Linked DNA regions of Ovis aries. The protein of the gene in region 1 interacts with the protein of each later gene in a biochemical or structural test. Links are inferred from orthologs where the notes say so. Each region holds a gene or a part of one and is shown on either strand. Other genes may lie near its edges. The genes, in order: UBE2D3, RNF114 and PJA1.

Region 1 (3,654 bases):
AAGCTTAATGAAAACATGTTTTCATTAAAACAGTTTACCCTTAAATTGTTAACTGTACTCGGTAAAAACATATCTTCCATGAGCCTATTTTATAAAAGTGTAAACTATTTGAAGCATCTATTTCCAATTAATAGTCATTATTTAACAATGATATGTTAATTTAATAAATTTGGGTCACATTCTTGTGTCTGATTTGTCTGTACTTAGCAGATGCTATTTTGCAGTCTTAATTTTCTTGAATTAGAGTTTTGTAGGCATTATGAAGCAGAGGGACTTGGAAGTAGGAAAGACATTTAAATAGTAGCTCTCCCATTAAATCATATGTATCTTTTAACTTGATCATCAGTATACTTACCATTCTCCTTTAAACCCCAGGTATATACCCTTTTTCATTTCTTTATAATAGCTATAAAATTTCACTATATGTCTACCAGACTGTAGATTTAGCAAGATGAGAAATTATTCTGTGTCCCTTTTCACTACCTAGTAAGTAGAATGGAGTTAGTAATTAATGTTTAGTAGTTTTACAGAGGGGTGGGATTAAATGAGCTGTACTACAGTGTCAGCCCTGTGAAGGTTATTTGCCTCGAATAAGAAGTGGGCATAGTATGATACAAGGTTCATGATAGCACTGTATACATCCTCACTCAAATGGAGAGGAATGGGTATTGACAATAATTCAGTTACTGCAGATTTTCAAACATATTTCCAGGTTGACTGCATATCCAGAGGCAGTTATGCAATTCCATTTTTTTAAAAAAACTCTTTGACCTTAAAATCCTTGACTACATCATCATCTTTTCATTCTTTGGTATGTTTAAGTCCTATTTCATTTACTCATGAAATGGCAACAGTTGCATCTTTTTCTTGGTATTGGTTAAATTAAATGTGGAATACTAGTAAGTTTCTCCCAAATGTTACTTCATACTAATGTTATATGCTATTTATTTACTGAGGAGTTTTTCATACTCAAATTACAGTGAGCAAAACATTTAAGGAGAAAAAGTACTGCTGTAGCTTGAAATTTTGTATCTTCTGTTTCAAGTGTGCAAAGCAAACATCCCAGCTTTTCCAAATCTAGTAGTTTTATGTATTGACTTACTATAAAGAATTTTGTGGTGTAATTTTGAAGAAAAAGCTGTCATGGTTTTATTAAATGAGAATTTTGAGGGGCCAATTGGGAACTAAACTTCTTAGAAACTTCTTTGTTTCTATTCTACTTCCCCTATTGAAGGGAGTTATGTTTACCTACAAGGGATAAATTTCTGGTTTGCCAGTGACCAGAATAGCCTGTTAAGGTACAAAGTTGTTTGTGTATATATGACTGTCATTAGAAGAAATGCTCAACAAACAGATATAAGCTTTATTTTCAGATGATAATTAGATGCATTATTATGTAGACTTCATTCTTACCTGTACTTGATGAGAACTAGGATCTCGAACCTTGTGTTTCTGAATAGTTTTTCTAAAATTCTTTGACTGCATGTAAAATAGGATCTAAATTATGATTCCTTATTCTATAGTAAATATTATGGTTTTTCACTAATAAGAACTTTATCATGGAATAATTTAGACTATTTTTGTGTAAATAGGTAATTTTGCTTCATATTAGAGAAATGCTTAGCAAATAAATGTTGACATGAATTATTTAGCAGTCATTTTAAATAGCAGAGTTAAGCATATTTTTCTTTTCACAGAATGACAGCCCATATCAAGGCGGTGTATTCTTTTTGACAATTCATTTTCCTACAGACTACCCCTTCAAACCACCTAAGGCAAGTATTCCCTGCCACCCCCAAGTCTGTGAGTAAAGATTTGTATTTTATTCAGAAGAATAGAACATTCCTAGACATTAGGGTTCTGCATAAGTTAAGGCTAAACTACTGTGAGTGTATAATGAATAAGAATAATTGGGGCTTGAATGTATATACTGAATTAAATCACTGATGTTGAATGCTGACTGTTAGCCTTAGTTAAAAGAAGAGCTAAACCTGGATTTGAACTTTGTAACTGGAGTTAAGAATTGCCTTATCCTTTACGTTGCAAGGCTCAACTATACCATGTGGAAGCATTTTTCTCACTTTATTGTGCGTATACAGATTTGGATCAGTAACTCTAGTGTCTTAAATACTAGCGTTCCAAACACTAACCTTCATTGTGCGTTTTCACACGTTGCTAAAAAATATACCATTATTTGTGTTGGGATTTAAGACTACAGTATATTTTGGCCTTTAAATGAAAATACTTTTATGATATTCAAATGCGTGTTTTATGTACAGTTGGAAATGGAGATTCTAATACATGCTTTTGTACCTTGATGCCTTAAATGAGCTAATCTGTATGCTTTGGTCTACCTCAGAAAGTTTCTAATTTGTTAGTGAATCCTAAATTCCCTTCAAGTTGCTCCTTTGATACTCATGCTATGGTAGGGCCAAAGTTTACCTTCAGAACAACCCACCATATCACTGATAATAAAATTTTTGCCACATGGTTATATTTTCCATTTTAATTAAAAAGAAGCCCCTGAAGGATCTTGGTCAGAATATAGATATTTTTATGTGTATAACTTTAGCTATTAGATTTTTAAAATTTTTAACTATTTTAAGTGTAGCTATAGTTTTTTGCCAAAGTTTACAATGCTTGTTTTTATTTGGGAAAAATAAAGTTGTTTTTTTATTTTAGGTTGCATTTACAACAAGAATTTATCATCCAAATATTAACAGTAATGGCAGCATTTGTCTCGATATTCTAAGATCACAGTGGTCTCCTGCTTTAACTATTTCTAAAGGTAAAATACTAGCGGCTTTGATTTTTCTAATAGTTAAAGGAGTTTCATTTTTGAGCTGACTTACCTAAGTATTTTTATAATGCCAGCTTTTTAATAAAGATGGGAAAAGGAATAAGAAGTTACATCCTTTTTGCTCTTAGCAGTATTGATTAAAGATTTTTTGGGAAGAAGTTAACATTCAGATGGAGGGGGCAGTATTTGCAAATATCAATAGCAGCATTTAATAGCTTTCTTAGTATATTTTTCAATCCCAAGCCACTTGTACATCTCACTCATTTGTTGCCATTTAGCAAAAATGGTACACCTAAAGTTAAAAGAGCTTTTGAACTTGAGGTTTCTTATGGGAAAATTCTGATTTCATTTTCCTGTGTTTCTTATTTTTTAGATAAAAAATCTTTTTAAGAAACCTTTAGTTAAGTTTTCATGTATCATGGTAGGTTGTTTCCTATCTAATAATAGTCTAAAATGCATAGTCTTGGGAAAGGTCTCTAGATAAATTCTGCTCTTCTACTTTAAAAGCGATCTGTTGTGTGGCATTTTTAATAGGTTGTCTAGTTTCCACATTGATGTTCCAGATGGAATATCTCTCCATCTCTTTGAAACAACTCTGGTGGCTTTTATGTCACTTTTACCCCACAAATAAAAATCACCTACCACACAGCTACTTAATGAGAAGGAAGTCTGCCTTTTAGTGATATTCAGTTTTTGATGCTGGCTTATTAGCATTCCTTAGTACACAAAATGAGTTTTTAATGTTGCTAATTATGACTGAATTTCAGATATTTGAGGATAGCAGCTAACTTGAAGCATTCTCATTTTTTGGCTGAATACTTAATGTAGCATTCCCCAGATTATTTCCTGAAATA
Region 2 (3,654 bases), on another chromosome or scaffold:
CTTTTGTTTTCCAAATTTAGCAAATTGCCAAGTCCTCCTGAATCCATCCCCAAATCATTTCCTGAATTCTTTATTGCCTCAGTCAGGCCCTCATGATCTCTTGCCTTTGGCCATCTATTTGGTTTCTTTTCTCATCTGAAAAAAAAAAAAATTTAAAACTGACAACTCTATTGTCCATGCTAATCCCAGAATTATTTTTCTAAAACTCGATTTTGGTTTGGTTGGTACCTTGCTTTAAGTACCTGGGGCTTATGAGGCAGAGTGGTAAACATGCACAATGCATGTAAAGAAATAGAAGTCTAGGGGCCTGGAATATTCTTCCCCTCCTCTGCCACTGAACTCTTCTAAGCTCTTTCGTGTATGCTGTCTGCAGTCTAACCACTGCTGTCTTTCTCGGGTTACAGCTGGCTGCTCTTAACTGTGTTTCCATAGCGCTTTGCATTCACCTCTGTTGATGGCTGCTCCTGCTTATGGTGCATTTCATACGTGCTAGACACTGTCCTCAGAGTCCACTGTACGTGACCCATCCTCCCTAGATTCTCGAGGCAGGCACTGTGGTCTCCACTTCACAGAAGAGAAGCTGAAGCTCGGGAAAGCCCAGCAGGATCCCTCGGTGGCCAGGGCTAAGGACTGAAGACTGTGCCGTGGCACCTTCTGCCATGTGTCGTGGTAGTTTGCGTTCATTTCTGTCGTTGGACCTGTGTGTCCTTTGCAAGGAACACTGCCTACCTACCGCCACCATTCTTCTTGCCCAGAAGGACTGAATCGAGAGCAGAGATCGAGTAGTTTTTAGTTCATTATCCATTGATGTCATTTTGAAAAGTTGATCCATTTTTGTCGTCTTGTCTCCACGATGCATGACGCCGGTTCTCTGTGTGTCTTGTTCTAGCTTTTGCTCTGCATGCCTGCAGGAGTGTCTGAAGCCGAAGAAGCCTGTCTGTGGCGTGTGTCGCAGCGCTCTGGCGCCTGGCGTCCGAGCCCTGGAGCTCGAGCGGCAGATTGAGAGCACAGAGACTTCCTGCCACGGCTGCCGTAAAAATGTATGTGGGAGTGGGGCGGAGCAGTCGGCCTCTGTAAGATGGGTAACACAGGCTTGCCGCCTTGTTTCGGAACTTAGAGCGTGGCTGAGTGACGAGCAGCACGTGTGCATGCTGGCTGGCCGTGGCCCTGCTGTTGCATTTTGGTAACCTGATTGGTTGTGTGGTTTGTTTTTTTCTTTTAAAGAATTGGTTTAGCATATTACATAGCTTAGCTTTGAAAACCATAGAAATCAGTTATCCCAGTTTTTTTTCTGTAAAAGACCCATTTTTCCCAAAGCAGCATACACAAATTTAGTTAGAATATGACAAAGTGATATTTCTCCATTTTTTAAAGTATAAAATGAAGTCAGTGCCTCAAAGTTACCTGCTGCAGTGAGTTTGAGGGGAAATTTTGTGATGTATTTTACTACAGATGTAAAACTTGTTCAGCTTTTGGCATTTGGCAAGGAGGAATTGTAGTACAAAGGTCAGTATGAGGACATTTGATAATAGCGGTGTCCAGTATTTGAAATGCATCTATGTTCTTTTTTTGTATGACCGTATTAGAGTCAAGAATATTTATTTTAAAATAATTATAACTGCACAGGAGAAATACTATTATTTTCAAAAGTGATATATACAGAATTACTGGGTTTTAAATAATTGTGATTTCATTAATTCCCGACAGCACAAAAATATAAATTAATGTAGGTTTGTTCCCCACTCCAGAGATTACCTTTTTAAAAATACTTCAGTTTAGAAGGCTGCAAAACATTTTCCTGCTCTCTGACACAGGTGTGGGTTTTATATAAACAGATGTAGGATTTTTACAAAATAGGATCCTACTATAATATGTATTTCTACAACTTCTTTGCACTTTTGAAAACTTCTTTCACTCCATGACTTACCGGACACCCTTGCATGTCAGTCTCTTCAGTTTAAACCTTAGTGAGAGCAGGCATGGACTAGGTGTCCCTTTACCCTGCCTCCTTTCAGAGGATTTGGCGCTACAGGTACACAGTGGCTATAGTTCTGAGTAGAGCTAGTTCCCATCCCCTTTAACCTGGAGCTCTTTGACTGGCAGCTTGAAGTCAAGTTCTTTAGCTAGCGATAAGACAGAAGCATCATGATAAGCCAGAGCGCAAGTACTGAAACATATTTTTCCTTCCAGTTTCTTTTGATTTAGAAATTCAAGATATTGAAGTAAAATTTTGTCTTTCTGTCTTGCAAAGACTAGATTTTATTAGGTAGAATTCAGAATCTGATTTTTCTTTTTTTTGGTAATTTCATTGATCACAATCTGGTGACAGAATAGTATTTAACTAGGATTACTGGCCTTTATCCCTTTTATGTAAATCATCACTTGTCTCTGCTGCACTTAGAACATGGTTCTTGGCATGCTGAAAGGAGGCTAATTTTAAGTGCTGGGGTAGAAAACTTTAGACACTTAACTGGGTTTGGAGTGTCTCTGTGAGCAGAGAGCATATCATGAAACAAACCTCTCCAAGAGTGATTTTAAAGTGGAAGCAGATATCCTGGTTTGCTCAAGTAAAACATCCGCCTTGGTACTAATAGAAACCCTGCAGAAAATCAGAGTTTCAGTCCCTTCCGTGGAGCCAGGAGTCTTGTGAGGTTCTTTGCCTCCCCAGGGCAGTATAGGTCTAGTTTACATCTTGCCTTTGCTTTGGCACTGTGTTGGATTGGGTACAAGATCCCAGCTAACTTGTGGGCTTTGATCCTTCCTGCCTAAGTTCTTCCTGTCCAAGATCCGGGCACATGTGGCTACCTGTTCCAAATACCAGAATTACATCATGGAAGGTGTGAAGGCCACCACCAAGGACGCGTCTCGTCAGCCAAGGTAAATGGTTCTGTCACTCTCTCTGGTCGATGTCTGTCTTCATGAGTTTTGGAGAACAGAGGTGTAGTTGTTAGGCTGGCTAAAGCTGGTGTAAGTTTTTGTTTTCGGGTGGTTATGGAGGACTCGCATGTTCGCTTCAAATGCGGGCTAGACTGTTACTTTCAAAACATTTGACCTGACTGAGAAGTGATCACCAGAATCCCTGTCCTAACGCATTTAGTGAACTTTGCTACTTTGGGGAGGGGCCAGTGGTTGAAATTGTGTGGAAAGGTGCCCACAGAGAAGTTTCTTCTTTTTTCCTGCCTTCATCTTCCAGAAGTGTCCCAAACCGGTACACTTTCCCTTGTCCTTACTGTCCTGAGAAGAATTTTGATCAAGAAGGACTTGTGGAACACTGCAAGTTATCCCATAGCACAGACACCAAATCTGTGGTAAGAGAAACTTGAGTTTTTTTGTTTTGTGGGTTTTGTTGTTTAAATTCTTATGGGGGGAAAAGTCAGACTTTACAAAAAGTTACAGGATTAGTTAATGAACTCTAATGTACCCTTCACCTGGACTCACAGATTAAGATTTTACCGTATTCGCTTAACCATGCTCTGTATACATATTTTGTGCTAGCCATTCGAAAGTAGATTACAGATACCGTGATCCTTTGCCCCTAAATACTGCAACACGTATCTCCTAGGAAGAAGTGTACCTTCTTAGAAAACCACATTTTGTGTGTGTTTTAATTTTCACACTCAGGAATTGTCACATCGATACAAGCCAATACCCCAT
Region 3 (3,754 bases), on another chromosome or scaffold:
TCCTCTTCTGCTCCCCGAAGCCCTGTACTCTCTGGGCGGGTACCTGGAGTAGTCCTCATTATCAGCATTCAGGCTGGTTCCTGAGCTCTCGCTGTCATCCCAACTACGACGAGTGGTGGAAAACGGTGATCGGCTCCTCTTGGTGGTTTGACTGGGGGCTGATCTGTGCATTGGGACTTCAGATGGCGTCTTTCTCTGCCTGGAAATCCTTTCTTGCTGGCTTGTGGATGGCCTGAAACTGACATAAGCATGCCTTCTTCCATACCTCCTGCCTGTATTGGACTGATACCTTCCTGCTGGCTTGGGCCAGATAGGCTTGCTAGATTCCTGACCCATTTGCTCTATTTAGGAGGGTTTCCAACATGGCTGGGGATTGAGTGGGAAGGCTCCTGCTCCCTGCACACACTTTGGAGATGGAAAGGTCAAATCAGTTCAAAATAAAGGAGCAGGGAGATTTATTTTCACTTCAGCAGGTAAAGAAAAAAAAAAAAAAGAATAAGGGGCCTTTAAAATTAGTTTCACTTTCTTCTAAGGCCTGGAATAGCATTCAAGTGACTATCAGGTGTAGACCTGGAACACATTTGCAATGTTGGCAAAATGATTACAAAACTGGGTTTGTAGGAAAGCCAGACTTATGGGAGAATCTGATGGAAGATGGAGGGTGACTGGACGTTCAGAAGGTGGGCAAAACACTGGAATTGTGCCAACATGGGAAGAGGAAAGATGGCTGTGGTTTTTTTATGGGGTGCCTGCATTTTTCTGAGCCCTGTAGACATACAGGAGAAATGCAAATTGGAATAGAGTGGAAAATATAGATCACCATCACTATGTATGTGAGAGTGCCTAGTGTCTGTCAGGAGCAGTAGGACAGGTGGAAGGGGACCAGCAATCATGAAGAGGAAAGACTCCTGTGTTTGTAAAGGGAAAGAGCTGGTGACAGCAGCATGGGAAAAGGCATGACTGTTGGGCAGAATGAGACCCATTGTGGATGTGGCTATGAAAATGACAGGCATGGTGTGGCTTCAGAGGAGAGGGGCATGTGAACATATGGCAGAAAGAGAATGCGCATGTGGTTCTGATGTGTGATGGCTGGAGCTCTAGGGAGGGATGCCTACGTTTATGTGTCTGTGGCAGGCCAGGAGGAGTATAGCGGCATTGAATGGAGTGTCCTCGGGTTTGTGTGTGTGTTCATCAAAATGGGAGGCAACAATCGAGAAGTGTCAGTGTGAACAAATGCATCAATGGGGAGACATCACTGGAGAGGGACATGCATGTGGCAGGTGGGTGGGCACCAGCAATCAAAGAGCATCTGTATTCATGGATGTGGCGACAGGAAGAGGGGATGTTCCAAGATAGGGATTTATGTGAGTGTGAGTATGTGCATGGCAGGGACCAGTGAAGGAGGCTGTCTAGACATATGTAGCAGACAGGGAGCACCTGAGAGGGGTATGGAAAGAGCGTGTGGGTGAGTATGCATGTTAAGTGGTGCAGGGAAAAGGAGCCAACAATCCAAGGATATCCTTATGTGTGTCAGTGGCAGGCAAGGGGTAAGGCCTCACAGAGGGTGTGTGTGTGTGTGTGGTGTGTTGTATGCTCACCAGAGCATGCAGAGGCACAGGGAGGAGGGGAGGTATGTTTGTGGAAGGTGGTGAGAGGCAGGAAAGGCACCGGAGGGTGGGAGGCTGTGTGTCTGTCAGTCATTCTGTGTCTCTCTCAGGGGAAGGCACTGGGGAGTGTGACAATGTCTGAGAGGGTGTCTGTACATGTGTGTCCAAGCATGTAGGGGGGAGGGGACACTCAGGAACCTTGAGTATGGGGGGCAGCGGTAAGACAGCTGCATTGGAAGGTTTTGGGCATGCGTGAGTGCTTGTGTGTGTGTGTGTGTGTGTGTGTGCGCATGCACGCACACGTGCATGTGCGCCCGGGTACACACACCCGTGTATGTGTGGGCATGTGCGTGTGTGTGTCCCTGTGCCTGCACGCAAGACAGTAGGATGGGAGGGGGTCCGCAATGTCATAATGAGAGAGAGGGAAACGTGTATCAGCTCAAATGGTAGATCCAAAAAATGTGGCAGAGAAGGGGGAGAAAGGAAAGGGAGTGTGGGGATACAGTTTTCCCTGGGAATGATTTGTTTTTCTGACAGCATTTCTTTTCCTGGCACAATATATTTGCCTAAAAATCTTCATCCTTTACCATTCATTAAAACAACTGCAAAATGGGGAAAGGCCGCGGGTCGCTCCACAGAGGAGCCAAGAAGGGAGGCAGGAGGAGAGGGGAGGACAGGCATAGAGGGCCGCGACCACCACTCCCCTCTTGAACAGCGACTCAAGCCACCAGAGCGGGGGCCGGGCCATACGTAAGGAGCCAGGGATGGAGGATGAGTCCTAAATCGGGCCAATGGAGGACACAGGCCTCCCTCTTTGGTCAGGTCCCGCGTCCGCCCCACCCCTTCCCAAGGGGTGAGCCCGAAAATCTGCTCGCTAGAGCCCCCCACCCCCACATCCTTACCCTGGTGCCCGGCCACTCGCCCTCATGCTCGGCCACTGGCCCCACCGTCACGTCTGAAGAGATCGAGGAAATAAAGTCTTTCACTCACCCAGTCGCGACCCCGCACGCTCTCAGGAAGAACAGATCTCTCGGACCTCCAACCTCCACGACCGCCAGAGCCGCTGCTCCTGGGGCTCCAGCTCCTCCCCCTCCAGACAGCAGTGGGGCAGGCGCGACTGCGGCGGCGGAAGTGATTGTGGCGTCGCGGCGGCCCGCCCCCTTGATGTGGCGGGGGCGGCAGCTGCTCTCAACAAATCAGGGTGGGCCCGAAAGGATTATTTCGTTTGAAATGATGAAATCGTCAAGGATACAGAAAAGGACAGCGAAAAATGTAACCAACAGCCAGCTGTAACAAATGTTAAACATTTAGTCATATACCCTTCTGTTCTGGGGTTTGCATGGTTGCTGTCCGTGCTGTCTGGTATAAAGTGAAAGCTGCAAATTCCTTCTGATTCATTCCGATATGAAAGGAATCATATTAATATACCCTATCCTATGTTCTATGTTATGACTTGTAGTGGAAGTATCACTGTATTTAGGGTTGTGGTCAGCAGAAAAATTTTTAACCTGGTGGTTGAAGCAAACTGAACTGTTTATCATACAATTTATTGCTGTTAATCGAGCTTCTCTATCCAGAAGAAATGATCAGTCATTGCAGCACAACATAGCTTCACATCCTTATAATTAAATTGCCCTTTAAAATATTATAGCTATGCCTTTTGGATTTACACAATTTTACTGAACTCCAAAGTCTTTTTTATATATTGCGCTTTACATGTATCTCTAATACTTGCATCAAATGTAAGACTTACCTTTGTTCACGACAATAGCAAAGCTTTGTTCTTTACTGGGAATAAAATACATAATAGAAGAACAAGGAGTTTTAGGGGTAATAACAGAATAGAAATAGGATGTATAACTTTCAAACCATTGAAGAAATAGCATGTAGAACAAAGGAAAAAATTCATTCTTACAAAACGCAGAAATGGGATGAGAGGCAACAAGAAAGTATGTTAGAAAGGGAGGGGAGGCAGAAATAAATCCAGGTATATCAGTGTGTACTAAGGATTAACGTCTCCCATAAAAAATGTAAAAGCAAACTCTCAATTTAAGCATTTAGTTTTTAGAAATCCAATTATATGCTGTTTATATGTTTCACCTAAGGCAGCAATAAGAATGGAAAAATATATTTTCCAGTGAAATACC

Evidence for each region.
Region 2: the proteins of UBE2D3 (region 1) and RNF114 form a complex in vitro, tested with the Homo sapiens proteins (2 studies listed by BioGRID, with this or other methods). The link is inferred for Ovis aries from reciprocal best matches to the Homo sapiens genes UBE2D3 and RNF114.
Region 3: the proteins of UBE2D3 (region 1) and PJA1 form a complex in vitro, tested with the Homo sapiens proteins (2 studies listed by BioGRID). The link is inferred for Ovis aries from reciprocal best matches to the Homo sapiens genes UBE2D3 and PJA1.

The regions. Positions count from the first base shown.
Region 1 is NC_056059.1:22,372,957-22,376,610, forward strand, and holds part of UBE2D3 (ubiquitin-conjugating enzyme E2 D3), read left to right. Parts: intron 1-1,697; coding exon 1,698-1,775; intron 1,776-2,682; coding exon 2,683-2,788; intron 2,789-3,654. UniProt on the Homo sapiens protein: Accepts ubiquitin from the E1 complex and catalyzes its covalent attachment to other proteins. In vitro catalyzes 'Lys-11'-, as well as 'Lys-48'-linked polyubiquitination.
Region 2 is NC_056066.1:78,028,370-78,032,023, forward strand, and holds part of RNF114 (E3 ubiquitin-protein ligase RNF114), read left to right. Parts: intron 1-889; coding exon 890-1,040; intron 1,041-2,770; coding exon 2,771-2,877; intron 2,878-3,193; coding exon 3,194-3,308; intron 3,309-3,654. UniProt on the Homo sapiens protein: E3 ubiquitin-protein ligase that promotes the ubiquitination of various substrates. In turn, participates in the regulation of many biological processes including cell cycle, apoptosis, osteoclastogenesis as well as innate or adaptive immunity.
Region 3 is NC_056080.1:62,086,515-62,090,268, forward strand, and holds the start of PJA1 (E3 ubiquitin-protein ligase Praja-1), read right to left. Parts: upstream 2,687-3,754; 5' UTR 2,598-2,686; exon of another isoform or gene 337-2,597; coding exon of another isoform or gene 172-336; coding exon 1-171. UniProt on the Homo sapiens protein: Has E2-dependent E3 ubiquitin-protein ligase activity. Ubiquitinates MAGED1 antigen leading to its subsequent degradation by proteasome. May be involved in protein sorting.